Arabidopsis thaliana: one gene and its partner. The protein of the gene in region 2 interacts with the protein of the main gene of each other region in a biochemical or structural test. Each region holds a gene or a part of one and is shown on either strand. Other genes may lie near its edges.

Region 1 (6,907 bases), on a different chromosome or scaffold from region 2:
AGACCATCCTAATTCCTATGTTCGGTGGTTTTGTATAGTGTGTCTGAGGCGAAGTTTAATGCTTCATTACACGTTGACCGAATAGAGTTCGATTCTCTTTATACCGAATTATTTCGGTTTGGAATCTTTAATTTGGTTAAGTGATGAATATATGTTTAGGAATTTTGTTTTCCGGTTTACTCGGTTCAAGGTTTTAGGTTTTTCGGTTTTAGAAAAACTATATCAGAATTTTCTTTCGGTTAGTAATTAGTTTGAACCTTTTCGATTTTGTTTTGGTTTTGGTTTAGGTCAGTTTGAAAATCTTAGATTTGTTTCGGTTTTGCATTGGAGATAACATAGTTTAAACAAATTTAATTTTATTTAAGAATTACAAAAAGTTATACATGCAAATGTTTTTTTTATATACATGTTACAAAATTATTTTGTAGTCCTGAAACTTGATGTATTCAATTCAGTTTATTCGGTATTGAAATTACGTTTAGCTTACAATTCGGTTCATTTCGATTCAAAAACTTTCAGTTCGGTTTGATTTATATGCCATCCAAAATTCTTACCTCACTTTGAAAATTCAAATATTGAGTAATGTGGCAGGCTAATCAACATTTTCTTTTGCATTTCATATTTTTTCTTTACATAAAAATTACACACTCAACTTCACATCTATATCAACATTATAAAACGACAAATAAAAAACAAACCCAAGAAAAGAAATTTTTTAAAAACAGTGAGTCATAATCATCGAGGACCCGAGAGCTCAATGGCTTCTACTACAAGAGACGATTCCTGAATATAATCCGAGTAATACCTCACACGCGGCGAAGAACTCACCATCCCCGGTGGCAATGGCGGTGGCTGATGCTCACCAGTACCGTTCTGCGTCGCTTCCCATCTCTCAGCCAAACCGTCACCTTCAAGCATCTTCATAACTTCTGACATTTTCGGTCGATGAGATGGATTGAATTGAGTGCAGAGTAGCGCAACTTGAACGATTTCTTCGAGTTCTACTCTATCGAACTTGTCATTTAGATCTTTGTCTATTAACTGCTTTAGTTTCCCTTCTTGGTGCAGCTTCTTCACCTGCCATTTTTAACAATCTCATTTCTCAGACCAATAAACCAAACCAAACCAATTCCAGATCAAGCACAAAAACAGAACCAAACCGAATCCAAAATAACAGTTTAGTCTTCAAACTATACCGAATTCAAATCAAAGATAACAGAAAACCAAACTGAGTCTTTTATCAAGCACAAAAACAGAACCAAAATTTAGCCAAAATCACGGCTAATTTATATTTTGTTTTGGTTTAAGTTTTCTATCAAACAAGACTGAACCGAACCAAACCACAATTATGAACAATAGCTTCAAGATTCTAGAAAGTGAAACAAGAAACAGAGAAAAGAGACTTACCCAGTCAAGCATTACACCTTTCTGGTGTGCGGATCTGCCAAAATCAAGAGCTTTCTGACCAGTAATGAGCTCAAGGAGAAGTATGCCAAAGCCAAAGACATCAGTCTTCTCTGAGGACTGACCCGTGGATAAGTACTCAGGTGCAATGTGGCCAACAGTTCCACGGACTGCAGTTGTGACATGAGAGTCTCTATGGTCTAGAAGCTTAGCTAACCCAAAATCACCAACAACTGCTTCGAAGTCCTCATCTAACAGAATGTTAGCTGCTTTCACATCGCGGTGTATAATCTTCGGGTCACATTGCTCGTGTAGGTAAACTAGTCCTCTCGCTGTCCCAACCGCTATCTTCTTCCTTCTCGACCAGTCTAATGCTGGCTCTCCACGGATATTATCTAAACAAAAAATGTAGCAAGATGGAACTATTAAAAACTTGCAAAAGAGCATGAAGAAATTAGCAGTTTTTTTGGAAACTGCATTACCTTTTAAGCGTGATGCGACACTCCCATTTGGCATGTAAGGGTAGACTAAAATTCTCTCCTGGTTGCTACTACAGAAACCGCGGAGCCGGAGGAGATTGCGATGAAGAGCCAAACTTATAGTCTCTACTTCTGTCTGAAACTGGACTTCTCCACCCGCAATGTTACAGTCCTTGAGACGTTTGACAGCCACCAAAGTTCCATCGTTTAAGTGTCCTTTGTACACAATCCCGTATCCGCCTCTTCCGAGAATGTTCTTCGAGTTGAAATGATTGGTGGCAGATCTAAGCTCTTTGAATGTATACCTCTTCAAGTGCCCTAAACTCACTTCTGGATCATATTGTTCTGCAAAATATTAATCATCAAGATGCAAGTGTCAGTTTTGCTCTGCACAAAATGATGTGAAGCCGATAGTATTTCAAGATACTAACCATTAACGTCAAAAAATATTTGCTTGTTACGGCGATATCTCCACCAAAGAAACATTCCGCTTGTAAAGAAAACAAAAAATGCTGCACTGAAGCTTGCGGCAAATGCAAGAGCAACGTGATGGCCATTGGTACGAGTTCCTGATTCATCTAAAACAGAAAGAAGAACCAAAGATGGAAGTGATGAGATACATTGACGCAGAAGAAGAATAGGGAGCTATGAGAAGCAGATGCCTAATACCTGGACCATCTTGTGGAAGCGTGAGAGGCTCGGGAACAGCAGAACAGTTTGAAACAGCTTTTGGGCCACAGATTAACGCATTACCAATTACCCTTCAGTTTAAGAAGCCCAACGCTGAATCTTAGTTTCAGCTTCAACGGAAAGATAAGTTCTTGTATAAGTTTAGTAAAGCTTACTTGAAAGTTCTGGCAGAAACTTTTGGCAGCGAACCACTAAGATTGTTATACGAAATGTCGCTGCACATTAAGAATCAGTAAAAAGTAAGTAAATAAATATTCTCCCAATGTATGTTTTTCCACTGTGAACAATAGAAAAAGCAGGATTTAGAGACTTACACTAGAGTGAGTCCCTCAATCTTGGATAGAGACTCAGGGCAAGTTCCTATAAGACTGTTATTGTTTAACCGCCTGAAAATGAAAATGACAAGAACAGAACAACAGACCACTCAGAATTGAATTGGAATTTTATAAACATGCAACAAAAGAATCATTGTGAAACCGTAAAGGAGCACTCACAAGTAATTCAAGTTCTTGAGTTCTCCAAGTGAGGCCGGTATCTCCCCGGTGAATGAATTGTTCGAAAGATCAAGTGACTGAAGCTTCTCCAACCTCCCAATCGTTTCCGGAATTGGACCAGTGATTGCATTGTTTTGCAACACCCTAAACAACAAAACATTAAGCTCAACAAGAAGCAAAACAGAGAACAAGAATCACATATAGCAAAGACTAGAAAAATCTTACACTGATTGTAAATAGGTGAGGTTTCCGATTCTAGGAGACAATGTACCAGACAAGCTTTGGCTAGGAAGATCCCTGTTTCATTAAGAAAACAAGACAAGTCTTAAAGATCTATCTGGTTTTTTTAATCTAATATACGAGAAGAGAAGAGAAGACTCACAGTGAAGAGACATAGCCATCAGTGCAAGAAACCATTCTCCAGCTACAAGGATCAACTGAATTCACATCCCAATTCTCAAGAACTTTGTACGGATCATTCAATTCATTCTTCACAGCAACCAAAGCTGTCACTGCTCATTTCAGACAAACAAAAAGAAAGAAACTTCAGATTGAAAGAACAAATCTAGCCTCAAAACTCCTATGAATTATCTTATTGCTAAAGCTGCATTTTTCGAAATTGAAATCTTATCCAAGAAAAACCCAGTAAGCTTATATGCAGTATAGTTTCACAGAGAATGAAGTAAACTTGAGCTGCTATTGGCTAAGGTTATATGAGTCTGGTGAGCATTTAAAGCTGTGATATTTATTATCCAATAAAGAAACAAAAAAGAACCTAATCCACACAAACATTCACCAGAATTTTCGGAACAACTAAACAAAATAGACAAAACCAAAGATGATAAATTCATAGAGAAAAAAATTGAGATTTCTCCAAGAAGAAAAAGACTAACCTTCATAGTTTACACCAGTAGGAGAAAGTGTAGCAGAAGAGATATCAAAGAACCATACAAAAACCAGAAATCCTAATCTCCACACCACAAATCTCACACCTTCCATATCCCTTCTTAAAGCAATCAACTTTGGTCTGAACAAAAACAAGTTTCAAAGAACCCACCAACTCATTTTTCTCTCTCCCATATCTGAAAAAAAAACTTAGCTTTTGTCTACTTTTCTTCTTCTCTGTCTTTATTTAGACACAGAAACTAATTTGAGCAATCCATTTTCCAGCAATGGAACCTCTCTTTCTCTGTGATTTCAATTCAAAGGAAGTAAAAAGGAGAAGACCCCAATTGAAAAATGACGACTTGCAAGTTACTCAGCTTAGAAAGAGAGAATTTTTGAATGAAGAAACGATTAAGAGAATGAATGCTAAACGAGCTGTGACAAGAGATAGAGAAGAGAGAGAAAACTCTAAAAGTGTGAAGAGAATTTTCCCGAGAAACCAAGCAAAACAAAAGCACCAAAATGCTCTGAAAGTCTGAGAAATTTTCCTAGAGATCTGAAAAAAAAAAAGCTATTGAGTGATGAGTGATACTAATAGTGCTTCTTGGTTTATATTTTATATCATTTTTATGACTTTGGTAGTAGTTGTTATTGAATAACTAATCTCTATAACATTCTTAATTTTTTCAAAAAAGGTTTGCTTCTAATTCCACACCACTATTACCAAATCATCTAATCTCTCATCTGCCTACTCTTATCATTCACACCACCAATATAAAAAAGGAATTTAAAAATAATAATCATGAAAAGAAAGGGACCAAACAAGCAAAATCCAAAATGAAAATGCCAAAAAATCCACAAACACACACAGAAAGATACTGACAGAATAACAAGAAAAGAAGAGACTCTCTGTTTTTCTCACTTTTTTATAAGTTTTGTTAATTTATAAGCTTTTTATATAAAACAAAATTACTGTGAGGTAAAAAGAATAGTACATTTTTTTTGTTTATGTTTTCATGATTTCAGTTTGAATCCTTTTTATTTTCTGCTTTCGGACAAATGTTTCAAGAAAACACTTTAATATACAAAAATGTGATTAGATTGAAGAGATGGGTCACATAGATGATAAAAGAAAAAACATAAGAACAAGGACATCTCTCTCTTATTTTAATATTTTGCTTTTTAGAAAAAGTTACCGAGAAAAAAAAAAAGTTTTTTTTGATGGGCAGATCACGTTCATGGCCTGTCTCCTATCTTGTTGGCTTTTTCAGGCTTCAATTATTTTACCCCTTTTTGAGTTTTTGATTAAAGGATAACATAATACTTCTCTTTACTACACAAAAATGTAAGCGTAGACGAATTCGTTTACACAAATTTTGTAAGCGTAGATTATGTTTTGCCCACTTGGGATGGCTAAATAGATATTGCAATCTCTTTCCATGACCAGAAAAGGCCCAGCTCAATGAAAATATCCAGAGCTATCACTAAAAACGGGCCCTGATTAATAGAAAAATGGTCCAAATTTTTGAATAGCCAAGTCTAAAAATGGACATGTCTATGACTGTCGATATCCACTTCAGCAAATTGCTTGCATCGTGTGTAAAAGGCTTAAATGCTTCTGATTCCATATCGTTATTTCCTAGTAGAATTTTTGGAGTTGCTAGATAAAAGTTGATTAAATACGTTTTCTTCTGATCTAAGTCAAGAAGAAGATGAGAATCAAAAGAGAAAATACCAAGTAAGAAAAAAGAAGATACTTGTTCTTTATTTATGAATAGTAAGATACATTAGAAGTGAAACATAATCCAAACACGTCTCAAACTCAAGAGACGCTAAAGAGTATTTTGAAAGTAAGTGATAAGATTGTAAAGGCTTATGCAGCCGCTGTGATGTACTGGATTGCCTCCTTGCATATACCTGTCATTGTTGCTTCAGGACCATACACCTTGAAATCAAACAGACATGTAAAAACAGTTAGAAACTGATTAAGCGGGAATGTCTTGAGTTTATTCATTGTGTGTCTACATACCTCGATGGGGACACCGATTTCGTCTCCAAGTGATCTCATTTTAGCAAGTCCCTTTTGGTAGTTTGGTCCTCCTCTCCTCACAAATATATGCATCCTTGCTGCTTTCAGCTTTGCTTCCTGTAAACGGTTAAAGCATGGTTCATTTATACTTGTAGTCAAGGGGCAATGAAGTGTTTGTGGATGATTCTACTCTCTTCTTGCTTACTTTTTCCTTGAGAGCTCGGATTATGCCATTGAAGGTAGCAGCAACATCGGTGAAGTTAGCAATTCCACCTCCAATTACCAGAGCCCTGCTTTTTCCATCCGGATTCGCTGTAGCACACTGAAGAAGCAGTATTATCATTCAGCACCACGACCAAGTCAGGAGTGACTTTATTTTCAGATGCTTTATTGGCAGAAGTTAAAGCAGCATCTTACATCAATGACAACTCTGGCATACTGCAAAACCTCGTCTTCTTTGGGTGCTCCACTGTATTCAGCATAATTGCCAAGCTCAGATGCATACCCGAGATCTCCAACCTGGATAACATTTCAGTAAACACTTTAGAGGCTAAGGCTTCTAAGCAGAAAAATGCAGGAGATTCTCGGTGTTCATATAAAAACATACGGTATCAGCATAGATGACACTTGCACCTCCTCCAGCTACCATAGTCCAAATTCTTCCCTTGGGATTCAGAACAGTGAACTTCAAAGAGGCACTTGTCTGCATATACAAAAGGGTCATAAGTCATAGAGAAACTGGTGTTTCCAGAAGCGTCAATTACTCTACGCTTATTGGTATGATACCTTCTCATCTAGACCGTGGATGAAGCTCTCTGTTGAACTCATCACTCTTCCAAATGGCATGGGAAATTCAATGTCGCCCCACCTGCAAAACGTAAGAGGTTAATCATACCGCCCAAACTCTTGACTTATCATGACTTCTT
Region 2 (6,595 bases):
TCAGCATGAGGATGAGGAAGAGAGCGGTGCTGATTTTTCGGTGGCTGTTGGATCGACGGCGGTGGCTTCGAAGGTTATATTTCCGGCGGAGGATTTTCACCGGAGATGAATGTATTACCTAGGGTTTGTCTTTAATTTAAATATATCTCCGTTTTTATAATAATGTTGAGAAAGAGAATAAGTATATCCAGCAGACGTATACTATACATGTAGAGTTGTCGTGAAATATTTGAATGAGATATATGCATGTAGTTATTGGTTAATTATCATACTAGTTGGAATTAACTGAATTTACATACGAATCCAAATTAATAAATAAGTAAAGGATTTGATGATCCAACACCAGCCATTATCCTCTATTTTGATTTCTTGGACAAGAAGAATCAATCAAGCAAATCTTTTCTAAACCCTAGAAATCGGTTCCATCTCAATTTCTATATACAATTTTAATTTATTTTCGCTGAACAAAACAGGAAGAAAAAACGATTGAATTTTCCAAAATTATCTCACCATTGTTGGACTTGTATTCCTTTTGAAGAATAAAAATTAACCGACACTGTTCTTTTAAGTAAAGTTTATAAGAAAAATTAACTATATTATTAACTGTTATGATCGTTTAAGCTCAACACAACTAAAGACAAAAAAACAAAAACAAACATCAAATTACAAACAAAAAGGTTATGTTCTTTCCAAAGAGTAGTGATCAGTGAACAAGACCAAACAAAAACCCTCGTCTCTCTACCTCTCATGTTCTTCACATCCTGCAATTACAACCACACAAATAAGTCTCAGATCAATAAACTTATTCAATCTCAAATCTTTAACAATCAAATTCTATTCTGAACTGAATCAATTGATCATAAAAGATCGAGTTCAAAAATACCTGAATCTCGGGGAGATTCGAGTGTTGTTACGTGTAAACGAGAGGGAGGAGGAAGAGAGGAAGCAGCAGGAGAAGGCGAGCCGAGATTGCTCGAGGGATTGCTGTTTTGTAGCCAACCTTCTTGAACTTGAGAAGCAAACTGAAGATTCCACAGGACATCTTCAATGGAAGGACGTTCTAAAGGGTCTTTAAGGAGACACCTTACACATATCTCCATCATTGTCTTCAGTGATTGGTCTGAACAAGCTCTATGGACCGTTGGATCCACCATGCTCCTACGTGCTCCATCATCCGCTGAAATGCTTGCTTGTAACTACAACAAATAAAAAAGAGTTTTTAAAGTAGATGATAGCGATTCCACATCAAGCTACATATATATCGAATGGTGTTACCTGCTCTTTTAGAACATCGACTTGACTCTTTGCTCTCAATGGTCTTCCCACTATAAGTTCAAGCAATATCACTCCAAAATCATAGATATCGATTTTATCTTCGTCTTTGATGCTGTTAAGAAACAGAGGATTAAACCATATAAACCGGTTTACAAGCTGATGAGAAACAGAGGATTAAACCATATAAACCGTTTTTGATTCTTTTGAGAAACAGAGGATTAAACCATATAACCGGGTTTACAAGCTGATGAGAAACAGAGTAAAGAAGATTATTACACACCTTGGAGTGCCTTTAGGTCCGCTCCGAGATCCTACTTGCCCCACCTTAGAAAGGAAAGCAAAAGAGATTCAAAATTCAAGAAACAAAAACATTCGAACTTTTGACATCGTCATTTACCTTTCCAAGACCTTCCACAAGCAATGGAAGATTATAGCTACTGAGTTTCGCCGCAAGGTTATTGTCAAGCAAAATGTCTGTCATTTTAAGGTTGTTATCATAAACACCAGGCACAATACCGGTATGCAAGAACTGGATCCCTTTTGCTACACCTATCGCTACGCTTATGCGTTGTTCCCAAGTAAGCAATCTTCCCATGTGCCCATCTAGCACAGCAGAGACAAGAACAATCCGATTTAGTTATTAAAAAATATATAATGATCATCTTCATTCTTAAAACACATGATGTTTCAGTGTGGTACCAGAAATCCAGGTCCTGAGTTCTCCATTTGGGACATACTCAAAGACAAAGAACATTCTGCTGACTGTTGAATCATCCAAGTAGCACTCGAAGCAGTGCCCGAGCACACTAACCAAGTGACGGTGCCGCAGTTTAGCGATGAGCTCAATGTGATGCATCAAGTTTTGTGTGCTGCAACTTTTCTTCATTTTCAGACACCTAATTGCCACAAAGGATCCATCTTTCAATCTCCCTCTATAAATCTGAAAAGAACAATGAAAACAAAAATCTTGTTTGATTCAACTGTTCAAAAAATGGAAACTAGCTAAAGAAAGATTGAAGCTTCACTGCTGTACCTGTCCTTGAGAACCTTCACCCATGAAAGCAGAGGATTCAAAGTTATTTGTTGCATACTCGAGCTCCTCCAGTGAGAATGTCCTGTAAGCTGGAAGACCGAGCCCTCCTAGCTTCATTGTTTGAGAGATATACCCTTCAAAGTATTGCAGTTACAGCACAAGTTATCAATGAAGACAAGTTCTATGTAATCTATGTGACAATATGTGAGAGATATTTTATCCTCTTACTTGCATCTGATAGTAGTTTCGATGTGTACCCCATTGAAGCATTCTCTCTAATCAATCTTGGGGAAGATTTCGTCACTGTTTTCTTAGCATTTAATCTCCTAAGAACCACAAATAAGGCACCGGCGAGGAGAAGTACCCCGAGAATGCTTGCGGTTACACCTAAAGCAATACCCACTTTGGAAACTTTGTTCCTCCTCTGTGGTAGGATTCCAACAGCAAGAGCTTCATTACTACAAAAAGAAACTGGACGTTGATCTTCATTCGTAGTAGCCAAACAGTTGCTTGCATAGACAACATCTCTGCTAGTGCCGGAACTCGGTTTAAGGCAAGTAGGCAAACTTCCGGTAAGAAGATTTGATGACATATCTACAAACATCAGCTGTGAGTTGCAAGAAAGATTTGCTGAAAGCCGCCCGGTGAGTTTGTTGTGTGAAATGTTCAAGTAAGTTATCGCGGGAAGAGACATCAAGGAAGTAGGAAATGGACCAACGAATGTATTGTAGGAAAGATCCAAATGTTGAAGCTGATACAGAGAACTTACTTCTTCAGCTGAAACTGCAGATCTAAACTTGTTCTTGCTGAGTATAAGAGTAACCAGCTTGTTACTTAACCGAGGAAACAACGGTCCAAAAGAGTTTCCTTCAAGATCAAGCACTTGAAGGTTTGTCAAATGGCTTAAATCAGGCAAAGCTCCATTAAACCGGTTATTAGCTAAAGCAAGAACTCTAAGACCTGACAAGCTACTCAAAGAAGAAGGCAATGACCCATTAAGCACGTTCTTTCTCAAGCTCAACACAGCTAAACTCGGCAAAGAATCAATCCAATCCGGTAACTCACCAGAAAACATATTCTCGTCGAGTATAAGCGTCTGAAGAGTAGCAAGCGACGAGAGTTCATGAGGGATTGGTCCAAAGAGGAAATTGGAACTCACATTGAGAATCTCCAAAGAGGATAAACGGTTGATTTTCTGAGGTAACCAACCCCATAACCCAAGGGACACAAACGTGAGAACTTTAACATCAGGGAGCTTAACAAGAGTAGTAACAAACGAGTTTATTGAGAAACTCTTTGGTAACATATGAGTTCCATTGTCTCCTATAATGTGAAGCTGCGTTACACTATCTTCATAACACACAACGGTTAGCGAAGGGCTTGGCTCAGAATTGCAGAAATCTGTATAGTTGTTCCAGCTGTTTAACACTTTGGGATAGTAGAGAAGCTGTTGCAGCCTCAAGAGGGTTTGAGATTGAGATGATTGTAGCTGTGTAGAGCCATCAATGGAAGCTAAAAGCAGAACCAGAAGCAGTAACGGCATGCCACAATAGAGTTTCTCCATAGCCACACAAGACCATAAAACACACACAACTACTAAATAAAATCATATAAGCATCATCATCAAAACCTGCAAAGAGAGAGACACATTTCATTCAAGAATCACATTTATATATAATGTACTTACAAAACAGGGTCCACTCTCAAGATCTTGATATTTTAACCACTTTCTCGTTAATGCATTAAACAGAAGAGAATCTTAGAAATCAATCTTCAAACTAAAAAAATATGATTTTTGCATGTGAATTCCAGAAAAACAGGAAGAACTCACCACATGTGTTACAGAATCTCCTCTTTAAGACACCTTGCAAGAAGAAAAGATGCAGGAAACTTTTGAGCACAAGAGATTAAATTTTATTTTTCCTGGAAACAAAATTTGGTTTCATCAGAGTAAGAAGAATGAGAAAATGAAAAGACAAATCGTTTCCTTTGAGATGAAGAAATACCTCTGCAAACTTATGAAGTAACTGTGAATGGAATATCGATTTTATCTAAAGAAACAAAAAAAGTAGCAACTTGATTTAAAGAAGAAAGTGAGAAAAGTTCCCAAGAAAATCCTCTGTAAGAGATGAAAGTTCCTCAAGGAGCTTTAAAAACATTCAAGATTCCTTCACGAGTGATTATTATATCTTATAAGAATAAAACAGAGGATACTCTGGGAACAATATTAACCCAACAAACTTTTTTTATTTTTTAAATAGACAATAAACAAAAACAAATTCTGTAAAATCAATGCAAAAACATTTTAGCAACCATACGATTTAGTAAATTGTCAGTGGCTAACGACAGAGAGTTTGGTCCTCCTCTCTAAGTCTCCATCACGAGATGAAGACAACGATAAATTCTTTTTACAAAAATAATTTTAAAACAAACAAACAAAATAGAAATAGAATTTTTTTGTCCAAAAAATAATCTTGTAAGTGTTCACATGCATTTTTAACAAATTAAAAAAGAAAAAAAAAAAAGCGAATCCAACAGGGTCTGGCCGACGTTTTTTTCTGATCTTTTTATTTTTGGTTGTCTCACTATTTATACAGTACACAAAGTAAATTATTTTATCAGCATTAAATATGTTCATATTATATTATCACTTTCAAAAAAATAGGGACCAAAGAGAAATCCACTCCAGCCAAAGCTGTGGCCAAGAAAAAGTAAAAAGACAAAAAAAAAAAGAAAGATAAAAAGGTAATGATAAGAGAAATATTCTTTTAGGGTTTAGGCCTTTAGGGGGATGATCTACAAATACGAGTCTGAGGCAAACAAGTCTTTATATAGTATAGATTTAATTTTGATATTTTTTTAAAGTTTCTTATATGAATATTAATTTGATTGAGAAAAGTCTGTCTATCAATTAATTGGGTATGCTAAGTTAAACAAGATTAATCAAGAATGAGTAAACAAAACCAAGTAAATTAGTGTAACTCTAATTTTGTTTTGAATTTTGATCATGTAAGAAAGCTGAAAACAAACTAAACATAAAAACCACAACAACTACACCGGAATTTTATCAAAAACTAGGCTTAAAACCAAACTGAAAGAAAAAAAAAAGATCCATCCAAAAACTTAAATCTGAAAGAGGTAATATATATATTTAAGGTGAAAATAAAAAGAAAGCGAAGTTGTGACACATACTGTAATGTAAGCTTTCGCACGAAGGCATCTCCATCAGAAAGGTCACACCAGACTTTTAAAGTGACACATGTAGGTCCCAATCTTCTCCGACCTTTTCAAAGTTCAAGAAAACAATCTTAATACAACAAATTAGCTCACATATAATATGATCAATAAAGAATAACATGCAAGGAATTGGAAATCAAATTAACAAACAATTTAAACTAAACTCGTGTATTTAATCATATTAAATTGAAACTAAGGCATGATGTCTTAATCTCTTGACTACTCTCACGTGCCATGAGTGATTCATCTTTTTATTAATCTTGTAGTTTTTTTTAATATGATTCATAGTTGCAGGTATAAGAAAACAAGTAAAGTAAATGCTTACAAACATAAGAAAACAAAATTCTGTGAAATTTTAGTCCACCTGGTTTTATATAAGCATCTTCTTCTGTTAGATTTTTCTGTGCATCGTTTAGGAATAAATATTTAATTTTAATTTATCTTATTTTTTTCCTTCATTTTGCGTGTTTCATTTTTTGGTTAGTTTTGTTTTGTATCTGTTGGTTGCATGTCTCAATAGTCAATGTCGTCGTATACAATCATAGTTTAAATAAAACTAAAAATTGTTGGTGCAGCTTATAATCGACTAGCCAACTTTAAACAATACGAAATAGAACGTGGTAATTTCCAATTTCGATTTCTTTTTCCTTAACAAAAAAAGATTGATCTTTAATTTGGTAGACGAAAAGAAAATTAATAACGGCTAGAAATACATTTATACGACTATTTTAACTGGTAGTGAAAATTGATCGACTGGCAACTATAAAATTAATATATTATGAAAATTTATTGGCTAAGTGAAGTAATTTGAGATTATTTCATAGAAATACATTTATACGACTATTTTATGTTTTTTTCTTGATTACTATCATGCATTCATATGTTACATTATTCTGTTTTTATCACATAAATATATATACACTACATTAAAGTGATTTGTAGAAAGCGAAAGCAAATACTTAATTAAGACGTACGTTAGAGCCTAGAGGAGTGTGTGTGTGTGTGTCATTTTCGTCTTGCGGTGTAATAAATTAGGTTAGATGGTTTGTT

Evidence for each region. The genes of interacting proteins can lie anywhere in the genome.
Region 1: the proteins of AT3G03770 (region 2) and NIK3 form a complex in vitro, tested with the Arabidopsis thaliana proteins (one large-scale study listed by BioGRID).

What each region holds. Positions count from the first base shown.
Region 1 is NC_003070.9:22,382,866-22,389,772, forward strand, and holds NIK3 (NSP-interacting kinase 3), read right to left. Parts: upstream 4,902-6,907; 5' UTR 4,067-4,901; coding exon 3,961-4,066; intron 3,837-3,960; exon of another isoform or gene 3,580-3,836; coding exon 3,450-3,579; intron 3,365-3,449; coding exon 3,293-3,364; intron 3,212-3,292; coding exon 3,068-3,211; intron 2,960-3,067; coding exon 2,888-2,959; intron 2,789-2,887; coding exon 2,729-2,788; intron 2,645-2,728; coding exon 2,553-2,644; intron 2,462-2,552; coding exon 2,315-2,461; intron 2,229-2,314; coding exon 1,887-2,228; intron 1,800-1,886; coding exon 1,408-1,799; intron 1,078-1,407; coding exon 736-1,077; 3' UTR 528-735; downstream 1-527. Other genes in the region: ACLA-2 (ATP-citrate lyase A-2), read right to left, coding at 5,826-5,897, 5,982-6,098, 6,187-6,303, 6,399-6,500, 6,589-6,684, 6,768-6,849.
Region 2 is NC_003074.8:944,565-951,159, forward strand, and holds AT3G03770 (Leucine-rich repeat protein kinase family protein), read right to left. Parts: upstream 4,675-6,595; 5' UTR 4,315-4,674; exon of another isoform or gene 4,232-4,314; 5' UTR 4,140-4,231; intron 3,939-4,139; 5' UTR 3,873-3,938; coding exon 2,537-3,872; intron 2,443-2,536; coding exon 2,309-2,442; intron 2,216-2,308; coding exon 1,975-2,215; intron 1,879-1,974; coding exon 1,673-1,878; intron 1,600-1,672; coding exon 1,556-1,599; intron 1,388-1,555; coding exon 1,276-1,387; intron 1,197-1,275; coding exon 884-1,196; intron 762-883; coding exon 739-761; 3' UTR 513-738; downstream 1-512. Other genes in the region: LBD20 (LOB domain-containing protein 20), read left to right, coding at 1-109.